5 linked regions of the Coturnix japonica genome follow. The protein of the gene in region 1 interacts with the protein of each later gene in a biochemical or structural test. Links are inferred from orthologs where the notes say so. Each region holds a gene or a part of one and is shown in the gene's direction. Other genes may lie near its edges.

The links.
Region 2: the proteins of PLCG1 (region 1) and FGFR1 form a complex in vitro, tested with the Homo sapiens proteins (4 studies listed by BioGRID and IntAct, with this or other methods). The link is inferred for Coturnix japonica from reciprocal best matches to the Homo sapiens genes PLCG1 and FGFR1.
Region 3: the proteins of PLCG1 (region 1) and GAB1 form a complex in vitro, tested with the Homo sapiens proteins (2 studies listed by BioGRID and IntAct, with this or other methods). The link is inferred for Coturnix japonica from reciprocal best matches to the Homo sapiens genes PLCG1 and GAB1.
Region 4: the proteins of PLCG1 (region 1) and FGFR2 form a complex in vitro, tested with the Homo sapiens proteins (2 studies listed by BioGRID and IntAct). The link is inferred for Coturnix japonica from reciprocal best matches to the Homo sapiens genes PLCG1 and FGFR2.
Region 5: the proteins of PLCG1 (region 1) and PDGFRA form a complex in vitro, tested with the Homo sapiens proteins (2 studies listed by BioGRID, with this or other methods). The link is inferred for Coturnix japonica from reciprocal best matches to the Homo sapiens genes PLCG1 and PDGFRA.

Annotation. Positions count from the first base shown.
Region 1 is NC_029535.1:4,195,036-4,199,888, forward strand, and holds the start of PLCG1 (1-phosphatidylinositol 4,5-bisphosphate phosphodiesterase gamma-1), read left to right. Parts: upstream 1-1,484; 5' UTR 1,485-1,576; coding exon 1,577-1,766; intron 1,767-4,853. UniProt on the Homo sapiens protein: Mediates the production of the second messenger molecules diacylglycerol (DAG) and inositol 1,4,5-trisphosphate (IP3). Plays an important role in the regulation of intracellular signaling cascades.
Region 2 is NC_029537.1:3,706,888-3,711,002, reverse strand, and holds the end of FGFR1 (fibroblast growth factor receptor 1), read left to right. Parts: intron 1-60; coding exon 61-206; intron 207-601; coding exon 602-723; intron 724-807; coding exon 808-918; intron 919-1,009; coding exon 1,010-1,200; intron 1,201-1,274; coding exon 1,275-1,397; intron 1,398-1,481; coding exon 1,482-1,552; intron 1,553-1,647; coding exon 1,648-1,785; intron 1,786-2,115; coding exon 2,116-2,221; intron 2,222-2,289; coding exon 2,290-2,463; 3' UTR 2,464-3,382; downstream 3,383-4,115. UniProt on the Homo sapiens protein: Tyrosine-protein kinase that acts as a cell-surface receptor for fibroblast growth factors and plays an essential role in the regulation of embryonic development, cell proliferation, differentiation and migration.
Region 3 is NC_029519.1:26,860,119-26,864,365, forward strand, and holds part of GAB1 (GRB2-associated-binding protein 1), read left to right. Parts: intron 1-726; coding exon 727-820; intron 821-1,147; coding exon 1,148-1,271; intron 1,272-3,387; coding exon of another isoform or gene 3,388-3,463; intron 3,464-4,108; coding exon 4,109-4,231; intron 4,232-4,247. UniProt on the Homo sapiens protein: Adapter protein that plays a role in intracellular signaling cascades triggered by activated receptor-type kinases. Plays a role in FGFR1 signaling. Probably involved in signaling by the epidermal growth factor receptor (EGFR) and the insulin receptor (INSR).
Region 4 is NC_029521.1:27,525,915-27,530,161, reverse strand, and holds part of FGFR2 (fibroblast growth factor receptor 2), read left to right. Parts: intron 1-681; coding exon 682-804; intron 805-1,824; coding exon 1,825-1,895; intron 1,896-3,341; coding exon 3,342-3,479; intron 3,480-4,247. UniProt on the Homo sapiens protein: Tyrosine-protein kinase that acts as a cell-surface receptor for fibroblast growth factors and plays an essential role in the regulation of cell proliferation, differentiation, migration and apoptosis, and in the regulation of embryonic development.
Region 5 is NC_029519.1:59,003,348-59,007,594, reverse strand, and holds the end of PDGFRA (platelet-derived growth factor receptor alpha), read left to right. Parts: intron 1-473; coding exon 474-621; 3' UTR 622-3,806; downstream 3,807-4,247. UniProt on the Homo sapiens protein: Tyrosine-protein kinase that acts as a cell-surface receptor for PDGFA, PDGFB and PDGFC and plays an essential role in the regulation of embryonic development, cell proliferation, survival and chemotaxis.

The DNA of each region.
Region 1 (4,853 bases):
TTTTTGGGGAGGGTTTTTGGGGGGGGTTTATTTTGGTTTTATTTCTTTCCTTTTTGTAATTGTGTACAAAAAAAAAAAGACAAAAAAAAAAAACTTTTAAAAAATGACAAAGCAGAATTTTAATGTGAAACCCTTTTTTTTTTTGTTGTTTTATTTTATTTTATTTTTTGCTATAATCATTAGTTTTAGAGGCGTTGTTAGCGTTAGTGTGTGTGCGAAGACCATTTTCCTGCAGCCTTTTCCTCCAACAAGTATCTTCTATTTTTATCATGAATTCCCTTTTAATCAACTGTAGGTTATTTAAAATAAATTCCTACAACTTAACGGAGCGTTGCTGTCCGTGTGGTCTGTCACACAGGGCCCCATCCTAACCCTAAACCCTGCCCCATAACCAGGAGAGGGGCTCAGCCACCCCAACAGCCACGCAGAGCACTGGGGGATGGCAGGGCTGGGATGGACGCAGCAGGGCTGAGTTGAGGTTTGTATCCATAGAACACAGCATGTGAGAAATCTCTTTTTGCAGCCTGCCCCAACCAACCTCCCATCCCACACTGCTGAGTGCTGGGGCTGAGCCCACGACTCTCCCATGGGGGAAACTGAGGCAGCGAACACTGATGGGAGCAGAAAGGGTGAAACACCTTGGAACTGGATCTGCTCTGCCAGCCCAGCTGCGCTGCGGGCAGCACAGGGAAGGCTGCAAACCCTGCTGGCTGCAGCCCCATCCCCCCTGTGGCCTCACAGGCTGCAAATTGAAACCAGGTGAGCCAAGAGGCAAAAGCAGCCTGTGTTCTTGGAGGGATCCGGGGGCTGCAGTAACCCTGCAGGGCTTTGGAGAGCTCAGGAGGAGAAGCACCATATTGGCACCGCTTCCATCCTGGGCTACAACAGCCCCAGTGCTGCTGTTCGCTGGAGACTGGGGTGGGCTTCTTAGTGCTGGTTCCTGCCACGGTGCACAGCGATTCCTGGGCGCTCACGTAGGAGGGATGGCTCACAGTGTGTCCCTTTGGAGCCTGGTGGAGCACAAGCACAGAGGCAGCAGCTCACTTTGCAGGGTGCCGGCAGCCACCCACCCCCATGGCCGCCCCACACACCGGGGGACACTGCGAGCTACGAGCCCCTCGCTGACCCACTGCCGTGCCCTCTGCCCCTACGGCCCCCACACCGCGTTTGGCCGCTCACATCTGGCAGCCAGCTGAGCGCGGCCGGGGGGCCGGGATGGGGGACAGGGGGGTTCTATGCCCGCAGCCCCGGGCAGCCGCCACCGCCATCACCTGCTCCTCCGTGCCCACAGCCACCTCGAGGCGCTTCATCTCAACAGCTTTACCCACGCGTGGGTCCGCCTGAAGCGGAGCTGAGCGGCGGCCCCAACCCACCCACCCACGAGCCGCTCCCCGCCTCCCCCGCACGTCTCGGGCCCCACGCGTGGAGGCGCCGTCCGTCGGCCGCGCTCCGCCCCTCGGCTCCTCCTCCTCCTCCTCCCGCAGCTCCCGGCCGCGGGTCGGGGCGCGGTGGCGGCGCTGCGGGCGCTCCGCTCCCCTTTGTTCGCGTTGCAGCGCGGTGCAAGCGGCGGGCGCTGATGGCGGCGGGGTCGGGGGCGCCCAGCGAGGCGGAGGCGGCTCATCTGTGCCGCAGCCTGGAGGTGGGCACCGTCATGACCCTCTTCTACTCCAAAAAGTCGCAGCGGCCCGAGAGGAAAACTTTCCAGGTGAAGCTGGAAACGCGGCAGGTCACCTGGAGCCGCGGCTCCGACAAGACCGAGGGAGCCGGTGAGTGAGAACCGAGACCACCCCCCAGCTCCAAGCAGCGCCTCCCCGCCCTGGGAACGCGGCACCGGGCAGGAAAAGCAGGACGAGGTGTTCCTGCTTCCTGCGGGCTGGGGGCGGTGGGAACCTCCCCGCACCCTCCCGCCCCCACTCACCCACCCCCGGCTCGGCGGGGAGGGGAGGGAAAAAGCGAACAGGGGGTTGGGGGGGAGAAAGACAAAAGGAGCCCCGCACCCTCCGCCCCCCGACCATCCCCCGGGCAGCTCCGTGCGCATCCCGCGGCCGCACGTGACGGTGTCCGGTTTCGGTGCCCCCCCCCCCATCTTGGGGCAGCCCGAGCCCCTCCGCACCGTGTGGTTCGGTTCGGATCCGTCCCGGCTCCGTGCGGGATTCGTTGCCGAAAGGGGCTGCACGAGCGTCCTGTGTGCTGCGACCGAGCGCAACAGATGGATGGGATGGAAGGAGCGTAAACCGGGGCCGAGCGCGGCCGAGGATGGGGAACCGCCGGGTTCGGCACCGCCGGGTTCGCTGCAGCCCCCGGCAGAGTTGCAGGGCTGTAGGGTTGCAGGGCTGTAGGGTTGCAGGGCTGTAGGGTTGCAGGGCTGTAGGGTTGCAGTGGGACGCGGTTGGCGGCGGCTCTTTCCCGCACACGGTGCTTTGCGGGGGCAGAGATTTGTCAGAGCTGTGGGAGACCACAGGGAGAGGTGGGAAGGGGCGGGGGGAGGCCCAGAGCTGGGAAACTTCCCGGTGCTGCTGTCCTGCTCTGTGCTCTCAGTCCCCATCTCCAGCGCTGTGTCTCCCAATGGCCGCCCCATATAGGGATGGTGAGATACAACATCTCTCCCATCTCCCCACGGAGCTTTCAGGCTCCCTCCTCCCCACGGACAGACCCTCATGAGTCTTTGTGGGGCTGGGGCTGTGCCTTCCAAGGGATCCATCCATCCCCCAAACCTCAGCTGTGCCGTTGATGTGGTTGTGGGGTTCTGCTGCTCTGCCAACAGCCAGGAGCGGGGCAGAAAAAAGCAGAGGGTTCATCCCAGGGACAGAGATGATCAAATAAGCATAACTGTAAAGATCCATAGGTTTTGAGCTAAAGAAAAACGGGGGTTGTTGAACTCCAAGCTGAGGTTCCCTCCCATGCGGTGCACTCTACTGCTGGGACCAGCCGTTCTGTGCTCATGGCACAGCATGGATGGAGCCCTCAGTGAGCACGGTGGGACGGGCTGGGGATCTTAGTGGTCTTTTCAAACCTTAATGATCCTTCGGCCCATTTCAAAATGAGGGAGCGTCTACAAGTAACACAGAGCTCTCAGACTTGGGTCACATCCCTCTGTGGGAGAGTTTCATCTCCGTGAGTGTTCGGTGCAGCAGCAAAGCTCTGTGTGCAGGACGTCCTGCCATCAGCAGCAGTGAGGTTGGGTCGGAGGGATGTTGGGTTGGGCATCATCAGTGCTGGTGCTCAGTACACACAGAGGCTCAGGCAGGTCACTGTTAGCGTGACCCTGGTTGGGATGTCAGTGCGATACCTTGGTGCCAGGAGGAGGGGGGGCCTGGCTGGGTGACCCTTGTGTAGAGCCTTGTGTCACATAAAGAGTGACCTTGTGTGATGGGCAGCACTCACTGCCAGCGGGTCCCCTGCCCTCCCAGCAGCAGCAGCTCTGACTCAGCAGCGGCACCGCCAGCTGGGCCGGGATGAAGAACCTCCTCTGTGTGCATGGGCCCATCTCTGCTCCTCGTTGGGCTGCTCTGGGGTTGGGTCAGACTGGGGGGAGCATCTCGCTTGGAAAGCTGTGAGCTCCATCTCTGTGCCTTTCCAAACCCAACATCGTGTACAAAAAGCACAATCTGTGCACACACACACACACACACACACACACACACGGAGCCATTTCTCCATCAATATTTGTCTCTACGCCCAATGTTTTCAGCCAGCTCCCATTATCAGCGCATCACCTTCTTGCTAATAACCCCGCTGAGGGCCGGGCTGCTTCGGTGGGAAGAGCTCTGATCATTTTCTGTGCCTTTAGTTAATCACCCAAAGCTCAGCACAGCTGATCCCCGGAGCCTTTTGTCTTTTATGCACTTTTTTTTCCCCCCTACTTCCTGTGTTATGTAATTCTTTTTTAATGTAAGAAGGTCCTGCCTTCATAACTCTGCATCCTGGGGGGGTTGCGGGCCGGCTCCTAATTGATCTGTTTTCCTTGAACCGAGTCTGAAAACTCGGAGAGTTTGCTCAGAGCACGAGCTGCAAATTTGGAGCAGATGTTTGTTTTATAGGAGAGAGAGAAAGGAGGGGAGGAAGGGGGTAAACACCTCGAGAAAGCCCTGGATTCCCATCAGGACTGGGAATGTGTGTGCCCCATTAGCAGAGCAGCCCCCCCCTGCTGCTGACCTCTGCTGCCCTTTGCACTGCTGTGTGCACCACGGGGTGGTCGCTGCTATCAGTGCCAGCACAGCGCCCGCTCGGCCCCGTTATCTTATCAGGGCGCAGCGTGCGGCCACCAGCGATGGCCATCGGTGTCCTATGGCTCCAGGAGAGCAGGAGGGCGGCCTGCTGCCTATCTGGCAGATTGCAGATGGAGGCCAGGTCTGCACGTGGTTGCTGCCCTGAAGGAAAGGGCACAGCCTTCCTTGGTGTTCAGCAGCCCTGGGAATGCAGGCACTGCTCTTGGGCTGAGATCTGCTCCTCCAGAGAGCTCTGTGTCCCATGGGAGGGGACTGAAGCGATGCTGCTGTGCTGTGATGAGGACGCAGAGTGAGGACGTGGCCCATCAGGATTGTCCATGGGACGGACTTTGCTTCCTCGAGTGCAGCCATAAGCATCTCCCTGCTGAGAAGGGCTCAACAGGAGCAGGAGAGGAGGGTCTGTAGTTCAGGGCTTCCCTGTGAGCCCAGGCAGGGGCTGTGTGTGCCAATATCTGCTCCTGGGCTGCTACAGGCAGTGAGACCTGGAGTGAAGCAGGAGGTAGAGCTGGGCATGACGGGGAGGATGCTCTTGGAGGGTGCTCAGAGTGCCTTCAGAAAGTTACATCCACTCGTACCTCTTGGCCTGTTGAGTTTGGAGAGCTGACAGCGTGGGGATGCTGTGAC
Region 2 (4,115 bases), on another chromosome or scaffold:
TTGGGAACGGGTGGCCGTGGCCCCAGCACTGCGTGAAGGTAACCCACAGCCCTGCTGCAGGTGTCGGCTGACTCCAGCTCCTCCATGAACTCGGGTGTGATGTTGGTGAGGCCCTCACGGCTCTCCTCCAGTGGAACCCCCATGTTGGCCGGTGTATCCGAGTATGAGCTGCCCGAGGACCCACGCTGGGAGCTGCCAAGGGACAGGTGGGGATGGGATGGAGTGGGGTAGGGTGGGATAAGATGGGATGGTGTGAGTTGAGGTGGGGTGTGATGGGATGGGATGGGATGGGATGAGGTGGGATGAGGTGGGGTGTGATGGGATGAGATGGGTTAAGGTGGAGTGTGATGGGATGGGATGGGATGAGGTGGGATGAGATGGGATGGATTTAGGTGGGCTGTGATGGGTTGAGATGGGTTGAGGTGGGGTGAGGTGGGATGGGATGGGTTGAGGTGGGATGGGATGGGTTGAGGTGGGATGGGATGGGTTGAGGTGGGATGGGATGGATGGGGCAAGGTGATGGCACTGAGGTGATGGCACTGAGTGTGGTGGCCGTCCTGCTGTCCCAGCACGGCATTATGTCTGTCTGTCTTCCCACCAGACTGATCCTGGGCAAGCCGTTGGGAGAAGGCTGCTTTGGGCAGGTGGTGCTGGCCGAGGCCATCGGCCTGGACAAGGACAAGCCAAACCGTGTCACCAAAGTGGCTGTAAAGATGCTCAAGTGTAAGAGGGGATGGGATCGGGTCTGTGTGTGTATGGTGTGGGGTTCCAGGCCAGCCTCCCTGACTGCTGCCTTTGCTGCCACAGCCGATGCCACAGAGAAGGACTTGTCTGACCTCATCTCTGAGATGGAGATGATGAAGATGATTGGCAAGCACAAGAACATCATCAACCTGCTGGGGGCCTGCACACAGGACGGTGAGCGGGCGAGGGGGGGCTCCCAGCACTGTGCCCCCCATTGGGGCAGCTGTGGGGTCCTGGCACATGACTTAACCCCACTATCCCATAGGGCCCCTCTATGTCATCGTGGAGTACGCCAGCAAAGGCAACCTGCGTGAGTACCTGCAGGCACGGCGCCCGCCAGGCATGGAGTATTGCTACAACCCCACTCGTGTCCCTGAGGAGCAGCTCTCCTTCAAGGACCTGGTATCCTGCACGTACCAGTTGGCAAGAGGCATGGAGTACCTGGCCTCCAAAAAGGTGTGAACCCCTCACTGTGGGTGTGCAGGGATGGGGATGTGGGGCATCATCTGACAGCCCCATATTCTGCACAGTGCATCCATCGAGACTTGGCAGCCAGGAATGTGCTGGTAACCGAGGACAACGTGATGAAGATCGCTGACTTCGGGCTGGCCCGTGACATCCACCACATCGATTACTACAAGAAAACAACAAATGTGAGTGGTTTGATCCTGTTGTGCCACGCAGCCCCTGGCCGCCCCCATGGGCAGTGCTGAGCTGATGGGGTTCTCTTGTCACAGGGCCGTTTGCCAGTGAAGTGGATGGCCCCGGAGGCTCTGTTTGACCGAATATACACTCATCAGAGTGATGTGTGAGTACAGGGTGCTGCTCCTGGTGTAGCTGAGCACCCGGAGCTCTCTGTGTTGCCCATGGTGGCTCATGCTGTGCCCATATGTCTGCCTGCAGTTGGTCCTTTGGTGTTCTGCTGTGGGAGATCTTCACGCTGGGTGGCTCGCCATACCCTGGTGTGCCCGTGGAGGAGCTTTTTAAGCTGCTGAAGGAGGGACACAGGATGGACAAGCCCAGCAACTGCACCAACGAGCTGTGAGTGCTGGGGGGGCAGTGGGTGATGGCCTATGGTGCCATCCATGCTGAGCTCATGCTCTGTCCTGGGTGCATGCAGGTGCAGGATGGGGAAGGCAGATGCTCAGAATTACTTTTGCAGCAGTCCCCTTAACTGCAAAACATCAGCTAAATCTATTTGTGATGACCGACATCACATCTCCCTTTGCTGTCGCTCACTCTGGGGGTGAATCTCACAGTGACCCCAGGGTTACACCCTCACCCAGCAGCCCCACATCCTTCCTTGGGGGGCTGAGCCCCACACACTGCACACTGCTGAGGGATGCTCTTGGCTCCCCCCACCCCATACAGGTACATGATGATGCGCGACTGCTGGCACGCCGTGCCCTCCCAGCGCCCCACATTCAAGCAGCTGGTGGAGGACCTGGACAGGATCGTGGCCATGACCTCCAACCAGGTAGGAGAGACCCCCACGCCCCTCTGTGCCCCACAGAGAATCCCCCCCCTTAAGCTTATCCCTTGCAGGAGTACCTGGACCTGTCGGTGCCATTGGATCAGTACTCACCCGGCTTCCCAGCCACACGCAGCTCCACCTGCTCCTCGGGGGAGGACTCGGTGTTCTCCCACGACCCACTGCCCGACGAGCCCTGCCTGCCTCGCTGCCCCCCACACAGCCACGCAGCTCTAAAGCGGCACTGAGGCTCCACACTCAGCTGTGCCCACCCGGCACCTCCGCAGGGAACTCTACCCAAAGGTTTCGTTTGCTGTTTGCCTCTTGGTTGGCTCTATTCTTTCTATTATCATCCATTTAAACCTTTCCCATGAGGTCTGTGCTTGGACATCACCACGTGGCGCTGCCCTATGGGGCCTATGCACACTGTGAGCATCCCAGTGCTGCCCAGCCCCACACATGGAGCGCCCCATGCATCAGTGCTATGCCAGAAGTCCCGTGTACATAGCTAAAATATGTATAAATATGAATATATATTTACATGTCTTTTTAAAAGGGTTGTTACCAGAGCTATACCAGTTTGGTAGGAAGGTACTAGTGGCTGGTAGATATCAGTTGCTATATATTAAAACAAAAAAAAAAAACAAAAAGAAAAAAAGAAAAAAAAAAGAAAAAAAAATCCATATATTTTGCTACATTTGCTGTTTTTATTTTTTTAAATTATGTTCCCGACCCTGTTTCAGTTTTAGATCCCTCGATAAGAATTGCTGCTGCTGCTTCAGTTTTATATGGGGTTGTATTAAACCATAATAATAACGTGTCGATGCCTTTATGGGAGCACGTGGCCACGGTGCCAATGGCCTTTCCCTCCCCCCCCCCGGGGGGGGCTGCAGTGGGGCAGGGTGCAGCCCCAGCTCCACACCCCGGGGCTGTGCCTTACCCAGACCACCCCATGGGGAGGGGGGGGCCATGGGGTCCGCTGTGTCCTTGCCTTCCCCCCCCCCTCCCCTCCTACCCCTTTCTCCGGTCCCTGGCTCTGGGATCGCGGAGTCAGGGCGCTATTACTTGAAAAGTTTATTTTGCCTTTGTATGGAGAAATATTATTTGTTGTAAACTCTTCTGTAATGAATCTGGAATTCTTGTAATTATTAAAGACTTTAACCAAGAGGTGCCTTTTGCCATCCCCATCCATTGTGCTGGGAGATGCTTGGGGTGCTGGGAAGCTGCTGCCCCTTTGCTCCAGGCTTGGGGACGGCTCCTTATAAATACACCCCATCATCCAACAACCAGAAACCCTCAACTTTCACCTCCTGTGCTACCAAAGCAGTCAGTGCACGTGGCTGTGATGCGGGGGTGCTTCCAGATGTGCTGGATGCTGCACACCAATGGCCTCGCCAAGGGCTCGGGCTTCCAGCTGGGCTCAGGCTCCAGTGATAGAGATGGGGGATAAGGATCAGGGTTAGGGTCAGGGTTATGTTAACCCTCTCCCTGCTGCTGTACCCCCAAAGGAGCTGAGCCTTGGTCTGGTGGACCCGCAGTGGTTGGGTTCGTCTCTGACCCCATACCCTAATGGTGCTGTGCCCACATCCGTGGCCATGTGCTGCTTAATGCACCACGGCTCTGGGTCGCAGCTCCGTCTCATCGGCTCTTTTAAAAGCATCTGCTTGTTGCTATTTCCATGTGTAAATTAAATCGATCAGCCGCTCTCCCCCCCAGCCCCCCTCTCCTAAATTAAGTAGGGCTTTTAATCAAGTGATTTATGTCGGATCCGCAGCCCGGGATTAAGCTCACAGCAGCCGCGGGGGGAGCGGGGGGCAGGCCATAAATCAGTGCTCTCTTTGGGAGCGGTTTGGCGGAGGGGAGCTCTGCAGCGCGTGTTTACATCATCAGAAAGTGCTGC
Region 3 (4,247 bases), on another chromosome or scaffold:
ATCTATGTATTATTGTTTAGGAAGGATGAATCATCGTTATTGGAGGGAGGGATGGTATTTCTCACTAATACTCAGCTTGTGGTTCTGTTCTGAAAATGGAAATTAAAAATGGCAACTTTTCTGGCATGATAGCTGTCACTGGTGGCACCAGCCTGCTGCTGCTCTACTCTTCAGTTGAACTCTGAAGCAAGCCAAACACCTTTTGGCATTGCAACTAACTATTGGCTCATCTCTCCATTTTGCAAACTTAATCATTGTTGAAGATTTTGTTCATACTTTGCCCTCACTGCACAGATTTCCTTATGGATTAGGTTTCGCAGCTCAGAGTTTGCATAATAATAATTGTCCACAAGCCAATAAAAGCATACGGAGTTGGCTGTGCTTGCACTGTAGGCTGAAACTGTCAGTCAACCCTATTTGTGCTTGTCAGTTCAGCAAGTCATGCCACAGAACTTGATGCCATTTTCAGTCTTTTTTCGAAATAGAATTACTACATACCTGTATATCTTGCAAAATTCTTAAATTGTGTCTTTTTTAAATAGTGTTGCTTTTTAACTGGAAAGTGTAAAATATAAGTTAATGTATCATAGCTTTATGAGAATGGAAGTGTCTCTTCTTAACTAGTGCTTATCATTCAATAAACAGTATTTTTTTGACATTAAAAATTGGAAAAGCTATTAAATTTAAGCTTGCTTAAGAATGTTTTATGCTTGTGTTCTTATATAGCAAAACCAGCTCCTCTAGAAATAAAACCTCTGCCCGAATGGGAGGAATTACAAGCCCCAGTTAGATCTCCTATCACCAGAAGCTTTGCGCGAGAGTAAGTTTCCTAGCTTTTCTTCATTTGGATTGTTTCTGTTGACTATAGCATTAATAATGTATATATACATCTGTGTTGTATTTTCAGCCTGTGTAATATAGATTCTTTTGGAACTGTGTGTATGTGTATGCATGCATTAAGACAGAAGTATGTCAATGTTAATTCTTATTTTTTAATAATGTATGTGAAGGACTGTGTAACCAAACAATGAGGCACTCTAGTAGTCTTGAATGACAATTTCAGCTCTAACGTGCTTATTTTTATTGTTTACCAGGAGGTTTAAGATATTCAAGATGTATTGTTTGTAAAATAATTCCTGGTAATTAGCTCCTCCAGGTTTCCCATGTCTCCCAGACCGGATTCAGTTCATAGCACAACTTCCAGCAGTGACTCGCACGACAGTGAAGAGAATTATGTATCCATGAATCCAAATCAGTCCACTGAAGACCCAGTATGTAAAATCTACATCTTAACTACTCTCTTCCTGTGCAGTCCTTACTTTTAAATCATGCAAACACAAATCCTTCCATTCAACATCACCTTCATTTGTATGTCTAGATCAAAATTTAAAAAAAAAGAAGAAAAAAAAAAACCTCTACTGCAATTGTAATTTTGATAAGATTTCATTGAGGAAGAGATGAGCATAATCATATATAGGGAATATGGTTAGCATACGTTCAGACTGCAAAATAGATCAGCAGATGACTTTATTTTTCTCTTCTGTAGAAACTGTCTTGTCTTCTGTAGATAGTTCTAGAGCATGCGACAGTTCAATATCAGGGCATCAAGGGAAATGAGCTATCATAGGTCCTCTGAGACAGGCTTAAAACCTTTATTAAAAAGACATTTGAGAAATGTGGAGGGTCCGTGGCAGTGGGAGGGGAAGTTTGATACGTTGCTTATTTTTCCCCTTTTGGGGAGAACTTTTTGGATGGAGGTATCTCAAATATTTAGCATTCACTGAAGAGCTAGGTAAGAGAAGTTACTGATATGCTGTGGTTTTCTGTTCTAGTTTTCTTCAGGAGAGAGTACAAGGGGGAAAAAAAAAAAAAAAAAAAAAAAAAGTTAAGTGAAAGGTTAGCAGTAAACCTAGGCCTAAAATGAAACCTAATCCATTCAATCCTTGAAGCTCTGGGGGAAAACCTGCACCGCTACCTCGGTTTTTGGGTCAGAGTAGTTTTAGTGTGATGACCATCTTTCTGCTGCTTCGACTTCTTATTAGGGAATATGTTTTTCGTCTTTAAAGTTGTATCAAGCTATGGTTCTTTGAGGCAGAATCTGCTTACCTCTGTTTTTGTTCTTTTTATTACTCTGCTGCCTTCTATGGCATGTGCTATCCCATTTCACTTAACCCTTGGCTCTTCACAGTGCTGCTTGCTACCCTATTCCCTGCTGTCCCAGATACCCTCCCTGGTCTCCTCCAGTCTCTTTCCCCTTGTGCTCTGTAGCTGCCTGTGGATACCACCTTTTACGACCCCCCTGAGTGAGCCCCACCTGCTGATTTCTCTTTGGCACTTGCGACTCAGTGCAAGCTCACGAGCCTGCAGGAGGTCCTGGCTCATGCTTAGATCAATGTCTGTCAGACCTGACAGCAGCACAGGCAGGCTTCCTAGGTGAAGTGCGCTTCAGCTGTGGGGAGCCAGTGATGTAAAAACTTAGCTCCTCACAGAGTACTGTGCAAGAGGCACTGGTAAGTAATCAGTAACGTCCCCTTATACAGATGCAATAAATGTCCTTTTTTGCAAAGGTTTGGAATTGCCTCTACCCACAGTAAAACTGCAGCATTGCAATTAGAAGTGGGAATTTCTGCTGATTCTTACAGTGGGTGCTAAGATAGTGTTTTTAGTGTTGCAGCTAAGACAGCCTATCATCAGTATCCTTCTGTTTGCTTGCACCATTCATTTTCCTGGGTTGTTCTACAGATTTCCTTTCATTCTCATTTAAATGTATTTTAAGTTTGGTTTCTTATACCTGTGTTCTACCTGTTTAGTTTGCTTAAGATAAAAAGATGTTTAATGACTAAGAGTTTTTTATTATTATTATTATGCTGGAAACCTTAACACAGATGCTGCTTTTATGTTAAATATGTAGAAATATATTTAAAGAATTGGGGTGACAAGAACTTTGCCTGTTGTTTGTTTGTCATTGTAACCACTTAATACGTTAGATGATACAGACATAATGTATAACAGCATGAATTTTAAAGGCCCGGCCTGTTAAGCTCTAACCAATAAAATATTTTATTTCCTAGAGAATCTGAATATTTCCAGGTATCTCAAAGCCCTTTTTAAAAATATGCATAGACTTTTCAGAATTTATTTATTTCATTTTTTGCTTCAGCTACATCTCAGTGGGAACTCCATACTTTTAAAATCCTTTTCTGTCATCAGCTTTGAATCATTTCATTTGGACACACTGCACTCCTGTTTTATTTAATAAAATCAGCGATGTTCTGCTCTCTCTTTCAAGTTGCTGTCAGCCTTACCCTTCTGTCTTTCCTTCTGCCTTCCTCTTCATTTTTTGCTGACTGCTGCCCTCTGTCTTCCTTTTTTTTCTTTATCTTTTAGAGAAGAGTCCTTCTATTGTACTGTTCCTATAACACCTGTTAAGAGGGAGGGATCAGGCTGGGAGAGGACAGAGGAGGTGAGGTTGTAAAAGTCTGGGCTAATTGAAATGTAGGTATATGCAATACAACTTCAGTTTAGGCAGTCCTGCACAAATTATCCAAAGTGATAATCTTTTAGTTTTGTTAACTTGAATAATGCATTTTGGTTTTAAGCTTAGTTATGATAGATTCGAGTGAAACTGAAAAGTCTTGTTTGAAGCTTTGCTACCATTGAAAGGCTGAAACCTTCTAAAATATATAATGGCCATTTAAAGTTTTTTGTTGTTGTTGTTGTTTGGGTTTTTTTTAAATTGTAATTAAGAAATGTTAAACTTGAGACGTGTAACACCAAAACAACTCCCTTATTACCTCATGATATGAAAGGGGTATTAGGTGGAAGGTACAGATTGATTTGATGACAATCTTAATTATGGGGGGTGGTTTTTGGTTTCCTTCCGTCCATTCCCTTTGGCTTTTGATTTTGTCCCAGGCTTAACGTTGTTCTGTTTCTGTTTAATTTAACTGTATCTATATAACATCAACAAAACTTGCATGGTTTAACTGGGTGTAAAAACTCAGTTCTTTAACCTTCAATGTTTTGACAGGTTATAATAAGCATATTTGATAATTTGGATTGTTAGCATGTACGTTTGCAGCTGAAGTTCTCTATGTTACAATTTCAGAATCTGTTTGGTAGCAACAGTCTTGATGGAGGAAGCAGCCCCATGGTAAAACCTAAAGGAGATAAGCAAGTAGAATATTTAGATCTGGACCTAGATTCGGGAAAATCTACCCCACCTCGTAAGGTAAGCAAGTCCTGAC
Region 4 (4,247 bases), on another chromosome or scaffold:
GGGCAGGAAGGCTGACCTGTGCTACTTCTGCTACTGTGGCACTGCTGATGCTGATTTAGAAGCCTGATTTCTGTCTAAACCCCAAAAGTTATTCCTACTTAAAGGTTAGAATAATACTCCGAGCTGCCACAACTTCCTTTCAATGTCGGAAATATCAGCTCCAAGTTTTCAGGATAATGCTGGCATGAAGGAAGAAAAATTCTGAGGGAAATACTGGTTGGAGTTTCAGTATCAGAGCTGTTTGAAAAGCAAACAGCCCAGCCCAAATGGCCTTTATTTTTTTTCCCAAGTGAAATTGCCGTAGTCTCATGGTTGAAGTAAACATACACACCCCAGACATCTGGCTAAGAATTACTTACTAGAGATACATCTCTTAAGATCTTTCATATTAAAGAAGGTTGTGCTGATCCGGATTGTCAGGTTTTAGTCCAGTTGATCCAATATCATGTAAGAGAAGCACACAGTGACACTCTCATTAACAGCATTTGCAAGGAAAATGCTGGGTTCCCTGTATCTGGGAAACTACAGCAATCATACTGCACGGGCTTGCAGTAAACACGTGGCTTTACAACCTAAGGAATTGGGTTAAAATCTATGATTTAGTTATGGTTAGAAATAATTCCAGGTTTTTTTTGCAGTGTTGTATTTCAGTGGGTGTTTTTGTCTTGTCTTTCTCTCCAGTGCATCCACCGAGACCTTGCCGCAAGAAATGTTTTGGTTACTGAAAATAATGTCATGAAAATAGCAGACTTCGGTTTAGCCAGAGACATCAACAATATAGATTATTATAAAAAGACTACTAATGTAAGTGGATGATTTGCTTATCTCTGGGAACAAGTGTTTCTTTCAATGTTTCACTTCAAAACTATGGTTATAATCTTAATGGGCTTCTTGTCCAGCAGACTTGCTTTTAATCAGACAGAAAACAGACATCAAGGACATATGCAATTCTTTCCCCCTCTTAGAGTGACAGTTAGTTTAAAAAGATAAACAAATAGGCTCTATTTTTTATGATTTATTATAACTGCTAGAATACAACTACCCATGTTGTACGTCCTCGACTCCAATCATTTGAAATAGGTGGAAATTTGATTCTAGCTCATTTTGAACCAGCCCTAGGATTAAGAAAAACACTGCACAAACAGTGATAGCTGTAACCATAATAAAAGTCCTGTTTGTGTAGTAGTGCCACAATACAGGGTTATGCATTTTGCCTGTGCATGGATGTGAATAACCATAGCATTAAAGCTGGTCTAAAGCTTGAGAAAATGGATTTTCAATACCTGTTGTTGTTTGGCTGTTAAACCTGTCCCAAATTAAGACGGGAACTTTGCAGAATTCTTTCAGTTCTTCAGACTCTGTTAATACGAAATAGCATTAATACGAAATATTAATTAATCACATTGCCTGGCTCATTTATAAAAATAAAGCACTGAGTGATGAATGGCATTTGAACAGTAATTATCAGAGTCCTTGTAGTTCCAAAAGGCGGAGCAGCCAGGTAGGGATTTGTTGGCGCTGGAGGGGATCTGAATCCATTTCATATCAAATTTGGTACAGCTCCTTGGCTCTAAGCAAAGCAGAGCTTTTATGCAGAGCAACAGGCAGCTGTGGCTGCAGGCTTTGGGGAAAGGAAAATGAAATTCTTGGGTTCAGTGAATGGACTTTGTGCAAGCAGACTCAATTATAAGAGGGTATTTTATTATTATTTTAATGAAAGTTTTTGAAGTAAACTGTGTGTTTATTTGAAACAAAAATCAGTGTTAAAATCTTCATTTTGGACTTTCATTTTCATTCCTCTTTCCTTCTCCTCCAAATATACAGGGACGGCTTCCAGTAAAGTGGATGGCTCCAGAAGCTCTGTTTGACAGAGTTTACACGCACCAAAGCGATGTGTAAGTGACTTTATTTGTGTAGTCTGGAAGGGCAGGAGGGGAACCTGGTTCACGTTCCTTAAAGTTTGGCATATTTCAGAATGTATTTTCCTGCTATCCTTTCCCTTTAAGCGTTTTCATTTTGTTTCACATATTAATAGATGGAACAGGACTTGCCCTTAGAAAGTGAGGATTTTATGGTAGACTGCTAACCAGTGCTCTGTTACTAATCTGCCTGGCTTCAAAGCACATGAAAGGTGGAAAATGCTAACCTCCTTCTGTCAGTGCGGAAGTTTCCCCCCTTGAACTTATTTACGGATGTGCAGCTACAAAGAGTCTATCTAATTTGCTTGGCTTTCGATGTACTCTGCACTTCCTTCAGGTTAAAAAAAAAACAACACAAAATGAAGAGAGGGAAAAGAAAGAAGAAAAAAAAGAAAAAAGAATCTTGTGAAAATTTGTGCTGTGGTTGTGTACAGTAAAACATAGCCTGGATATACCAGAAGTGCTTTCCCAGATTTTAGAGATGCTGCATCCCAGCAGTGCTTCACATACAGAAGGAAATCATTGGATCTCTGGCACTTCAGGATCTTGTAATGTGCGTGGTGTAGCTGGCTGATGCAACAGCTCCCATAATTCTGCTTCCTATTAAAGTTCCTGGGCCCATCCTCAGTGCTCGCATGCATTGAGCTCAAAGTAAATGTGTATTTTTTACTCAGTGCAGATGAAGATCTTATGCTTTTTATTTGTCCAAGAGAAGCTGTTAGCCGTAAAAGGCTGGATGCTTCCCAGCACAGGTGTAAAAGCTTATGCATGACAGCACAGAGTTAAAATAGAAAGGAGCAGGGTAGAGAAAATAAGAGGTGCCTTCTCCTTTAACTTGGATGCTCTTCTCAAGTTGTTCTCTCCTTAAGAAAAGCATTTACCGAGGCCTTTCCTGCCATCTTTATGTTATTTATGAAGGAAGCTATATACACAGGTTAAGGGTGGAGCCAACTTTTGCTTTAAAATAACATCTTGACAAAATATTTAAGTGAATGTGAAGTAAACGGCTTGGCTGGTTTAGAGCTGGAAGTCATTGTGAGCTCTCAACAAGCGCAGAGCACGGGCATTTCGGTGTTGGAACTGGGAGACGTTTTGGCCCCACGGTGCCTTTGGATAATATTATTGTAAGTTTGTGCAAACAGTTTACTAAAATACACTGCTGCAAAGCTAGCAGAACTGCAGAGCAGCTCGGGGCCAGGGCAGGCTCTGCGCTGTTGCTTACCTGGCAGAGAAGCCTGGCAGTGGGCCCATGGCTGCCAGCGGGACGTGGCGAGGCAGCTCTGGAGGTGGGGAGCAGGCAGGAAAACTGGCTGAAGTTCTCCCTCCTTCGTTTTCTTACCAAACAAATAAACAAATAACTAAATGACTCTGTTTACAGCGGGAAGGCAATTTTCCTAATGCTGTTTTATCTTTCTTTTGCAGATGGTCGTTTGGTGTGCTAATGTGGGAGATCTTCACCTTGGGAGGGTCTCCCTACCCAGGAATCCCCGTGGAGGAACTTTTTAAGCTGCTTAAAGAAGGGCACCGAATGGATAAACCTGCCAACTGCACCAATGAACTGTAAGGACCAAGGGTTGCAGACTGCACTGAAATCATAGAATATCCCGACGTGGAAAGGAGCCATCACACGGTTAATGCTACCCCAGGAGAATGTAGCATTTTCAGAATTGTTGGCTCTGAAATAGTGAATGTGTGTGCATATAGATGTGTATAGAAACACTATGGAAAGGTCTCCAGGAAATGTTTGGTGGAGGACATTTTAAACACCCTGCTGTGATCCCTTTGAAAATGGATGAGCTCATCTATCAGCAAGTCTTTGTCAGTACTTTTAGACCCTTATTTACTCAGTTTGGGTTCATGAAATGTGAAAATTCATAAATGGCACACATAGCCATACCACACACAGACTCTTATCCTGTATAAGCTACAACCAGCTGGTTTTGTACACAAAAAAAGTGCATTTGGGAGCTTTAACATTAGCACAGCACTGTCTACCAGAGATAGTGGGAGAGTGCTTTCCTTTTCTAATACTTCAATATAGCTCTTGATAGCTTTTGCTTTTATCCCCCATTTTAATTTCTTCACTTCACAAAGGCTGCAGTCTGTTACATGATAAAAGATTTAAGCACATGTAATTTAATGCTGCTGAAATGCCACGGTAGAATGCAGACTCAGGTCCACAAAGAGGAAATTCAGATGCTAGGCAAGCATGGATAGAAATAGAGATGCATCTTTTGAGGGAAGTGACAGCATTGTATGGTTTGGGCAGAGGCAGTTGTCCATGTTTAAGACTATGGAGAGCTCGCTGCTTTACTTGTGGTGAAGAAT
Region 5 (4,247 bases), on another chromosome or scaffold:
TTACAAATCAGGTAGCCCATAGTCCCCTTTCTGGGTTGCATTTGGTGATATTCATTAGTACTTCTTAGAATCCTACTTCGCAATTCATTTCCTAGGCTCTGTTGGAGATATGCATTAGGAAGGTTCTGTGTAGTGTGGCAGTATTACTGGCCATAATGTTTCCAATATGAAATACCTTATTTTGGCTCCTCTGTGTCTGCCAGAGGAAGGCAGCTGCTAACTTGACCAAGTCATAGCAACTGTCTGATGGTTCAGTTGGCATGTTTTACATTACATTTGCCTCTACAGCTCGATGACTTTGAACCTGCCCTGCCAGGCATGGGGGTTGGAACTTCATGATCCTTGAGGTCCCTTCCAACCTAGGTTATTCTGTGTGTGATTCTGTGTGATGTGGTGTTCAGTTCAATTCATAAATTGGGGTACGTGGTGCCTTTTAATGTGTATTTTAGCTCTGAGATCTTCGTCTCTTCCAGTTCCCAGACTTCTGAAGAAAGCGCCATTGAAACTGGTTCCAGTAGCTCTACTTTTATCAAGAGAGAGGATGAGACCATTGAGGACATTGACATGATGGATGACATCGGGATTGACTCCTCGGATCTGGTGGAGGACAGCTTCCTGTAATCCCAGACACCTTCTAACTGCACGCAGGGAAACTTACTGTGCTGTCTACAGACTTCTGTTACACAGAGAAAACCACTTCATTGCAATGTCAAGGATGTGAAGAGAAGATGGATTTGTACAGAGAGATGCCCAGTGATGGGCAAAGGAATCAGCCTGAGAATGAAAGAGAGAGAACTGTCAAAGATGGATTTTGTTAGTGTTGCTTCTTGCAGTACTTTATGAGCATCTCAGTGTTGTTTGCCATTCCAGCTGGTGGAGGACGATGGAAAGGCCATAAACAGACCAGTTTTGTGTTCCAAGGGCATTCCTATGACTTTGATGGATAGAATTTCCACTGCAGCAATACTTCATCATTGTAATTATGTAAATAACTATCAGCTCAAGGATCTTTTGAGGTGCACATTGAATACACTCCATGGATTTTAGAAAGGATCACCCATGAATTTTGTGCACTTCTTCCCTCAATCTCAGTGTCAGCTGCTGTTGAACTATCATGTGAATTGAAGAACATGCGAAAACCACTTTTGGACCAATAATGTCTGAAACCACAAAAAACTGACCGGTACTACAAAACATGTTACTTTTTAACATTAATGCAAGGGGAATAATAATAATAATAATAATAAAAACCAGTTTATAATAGGTGTTAGAAACCTAGTAAGTCTTTATTAACCATAGAAGATAGCTGTTTTCATGATAATACTACTACTGTTTTCCGTAACACTAAGCCTATATTTTATAATTCACTGTCCTTCAGTAAGAGCAATCTCAAGAAATATTATTAAGTACAAGGAAAAAATCATGACCTGAAAATTTGATGAAACAACCTTTATCAGGCCCTATGTAGTATGATAATTGCTCTGACTAGCTAAAACTTATGCAATATGGAGAAGTTGCATCCTGTAATATGCTAAGATTTAGTTTTCTATTTTGAATTGAGCAGCTTTTCTAATCAGCTGTACTAGAAGCAATTATTGTCCTCCAGTTAAAAGAACGTATAAGCATTCAAAAAAAATTTTTTTTAATTTGAATTTATGCCAGATTTCCCAAATTTTGGAGAGTGAAAGATCATGATAAACCAACAGCAACATCCCATTGTTAGTGTTTCATAGTTTCTCAAAAGAAATCTTATTCCAGGATTAGGTATGAAAAATCAATTTTATTTTTGAACGGCTCAAGGAAAAAAGACACCTCTCCCAGACTTGAACTCCAGATGATAAAAGCAGAAATAGTTCTGCAACAAATATCCTTGTCTTAATTTTGAAGTTTAAAGAGAAGCAGAAAACTTACTATTATCTTTGCAGACTCTAACTACAAATAGTAATTGCCTTCAGGTGTGATTTCTGGATGAAGGTGCATGAGAACAAACCTGCTCTCAGCCTGCAATAGTTATTTTTTGACACCACTTACAAGAGCAAAGTATTATGATTACTGCTATCACTGTACAGTGTTATTGATATTTTATGTTTTGGAAGACTTACACGTGAAAGAAAGGTACATCACTGCAAAGGGCCCCATCCTTTCTGGTGCTCATCTTTCAAACTTAACTCTAATTCAGTGCGATGAGTGCCTCACAGGACGCGCTCAGCATCTGGCATGGTGGAACAAATGCAAATGTGGTACAAACTCATCTCTGCGTTCAAGTACTTTTCCTAGGAAGTATGAAAGATGGACCAGCAGCAATTGACAACACAAGCTACCTGGATCTAAGTAACAAACTGAGCTTTACCTTGAAATGGCCCTAAGGAAAGCTATACAACTCCCGATCACGTCATTCATGGATGGTTGTGGATTTAAGAAAAATAAATGTAATATTGTCATTTCTACAGGCAAATAATTTTGGCTCTGAGTTTCAAAAATATCACCTGGTTGTGGCCACATACAGATGTCCTGCAGATGTGGAAACGTGACCTGAAGTGAGGCACCTGCATTTTCAGCCCTGGTCATGTTCGACAATCATAACAAACCATGAGCAATGACATGTCCTCCTTTCTCTGCAATCAACAGACCAATACCAAGTGTCTTTCTGAGCTCCGCATGGGGACAACTGTGAAATATAAAGACTCTTGAAGGGATAGCCTGGACACACAAGATGATGCAAAGTCCCCCTCCAGTTATGAACTATAAATTGAGGAAACACAAATTGTCTACTGGATATCCCAGATATCTGAATGGCCATTTGGGACCGCACATGCCTTAATTTGCATGTGTAGTCATTACAACTGCATGCTCAAATTAGGCAAGCGATTTCACCTGCACTTTTGCACATGGCCCAGTGTTCTTCGGGGTTTGAAAATCAGGCCTGGCATGTTTTACTATACCAGTTACTGGAATACAAGGACATTTTCCCATGGTCTCCCCTTCCTCTCATTGATTTCATTCTGTATTGCACAACATACATTGGGGCTAGACCAAAATGGTGGATGTGAACCAGAGCCGCTCATGAGTGTTTGTATACATTAATTTTACCTGTGGCATGAGTCTAGCCAAACCCAGCTTATTTCAGGGTGGAATCCAATAAACTTGCCGATAAACTGGAATGAGAGGCAGAGGCAGAGTGGGATTTATTAGAGAGGGAGAAGTGGGAGGAGATGATTCTTTAGTTTTACAATATTTTCAGTATTACCAACATTTTAGTTTATGGCTTAATTTTTGAGAAGCCACTGGAAAAGATAGTCCCAAATCTTACTCTAAGGTAATCTTATAATGACAATCAGTGTTAGCCTATCACAGCATTTGATTTGGAATGGCCAACCAATTCCTTACAGTGTGGTCTGCAGCTTGTACAAAATGGTCCTATTACATGGTGAAGGACGTGAGATATGGTGATGTTATACATCAATATGTATATAAGTATTTTTATATAGACTTTTAGAATACTGCCAAAACATTTATGACAGCTATATCACTGCCTTTGTTTATATTTTTTTTAACTGTGATATATTCCACAGGCACGTAACTGTTGCACTTTGAATGTCCAAAAGTTATATTTTAGAATAATAAAAAAGGAAGTGTTTCCAAAATGGTGGTTGTTGTGAAATATTTGAAGAAGGGCAAACTAGCCCGAGTGATGGTAGGCACAAAATGTATTACAAAATGCCCCTGTTGATATTTTGTCTTTGAAAAATCAAATCCTGTAAATAAAGATCTCTATATTTCAATAAATGATATATAATTTAAGGATATGTGAGGGGTCTATACTCACTTATTGAAAGACTGTTATAAGGGATCAGTCTTGCTTGACTTTTTTTTCCTGCCTGAGAATTTGGGTTAGTAGAACACTCTGCAAAGCCATTGGGCAGCAAAGACAGTTCCCTGAGCCCTTCTGGTGTGCACAGTGAGGAACCGCCAATGAGAATGTAACTTAACCAGTGAATTCTGTCCGTGTGAAGCTCCTTTGACCCCAGGCTGTGGTAGGTTTAGTGCTCCAGTGACCGACATCTGAGCTCCCCACATAAGATAAAATCCTTCTGGTTTCAGCACTGGTAGATTCAGTGGTACTGGTAGGTTCAGTGCTGCCTGTCTGCACGTGCTGGGGAATGGGGTGCATGGGATGCGAAAAACAGCACTGTGTCATGTATCTCCTATATATGTTCTGCTTCTTCTGATACAGGTGTACAATAAGA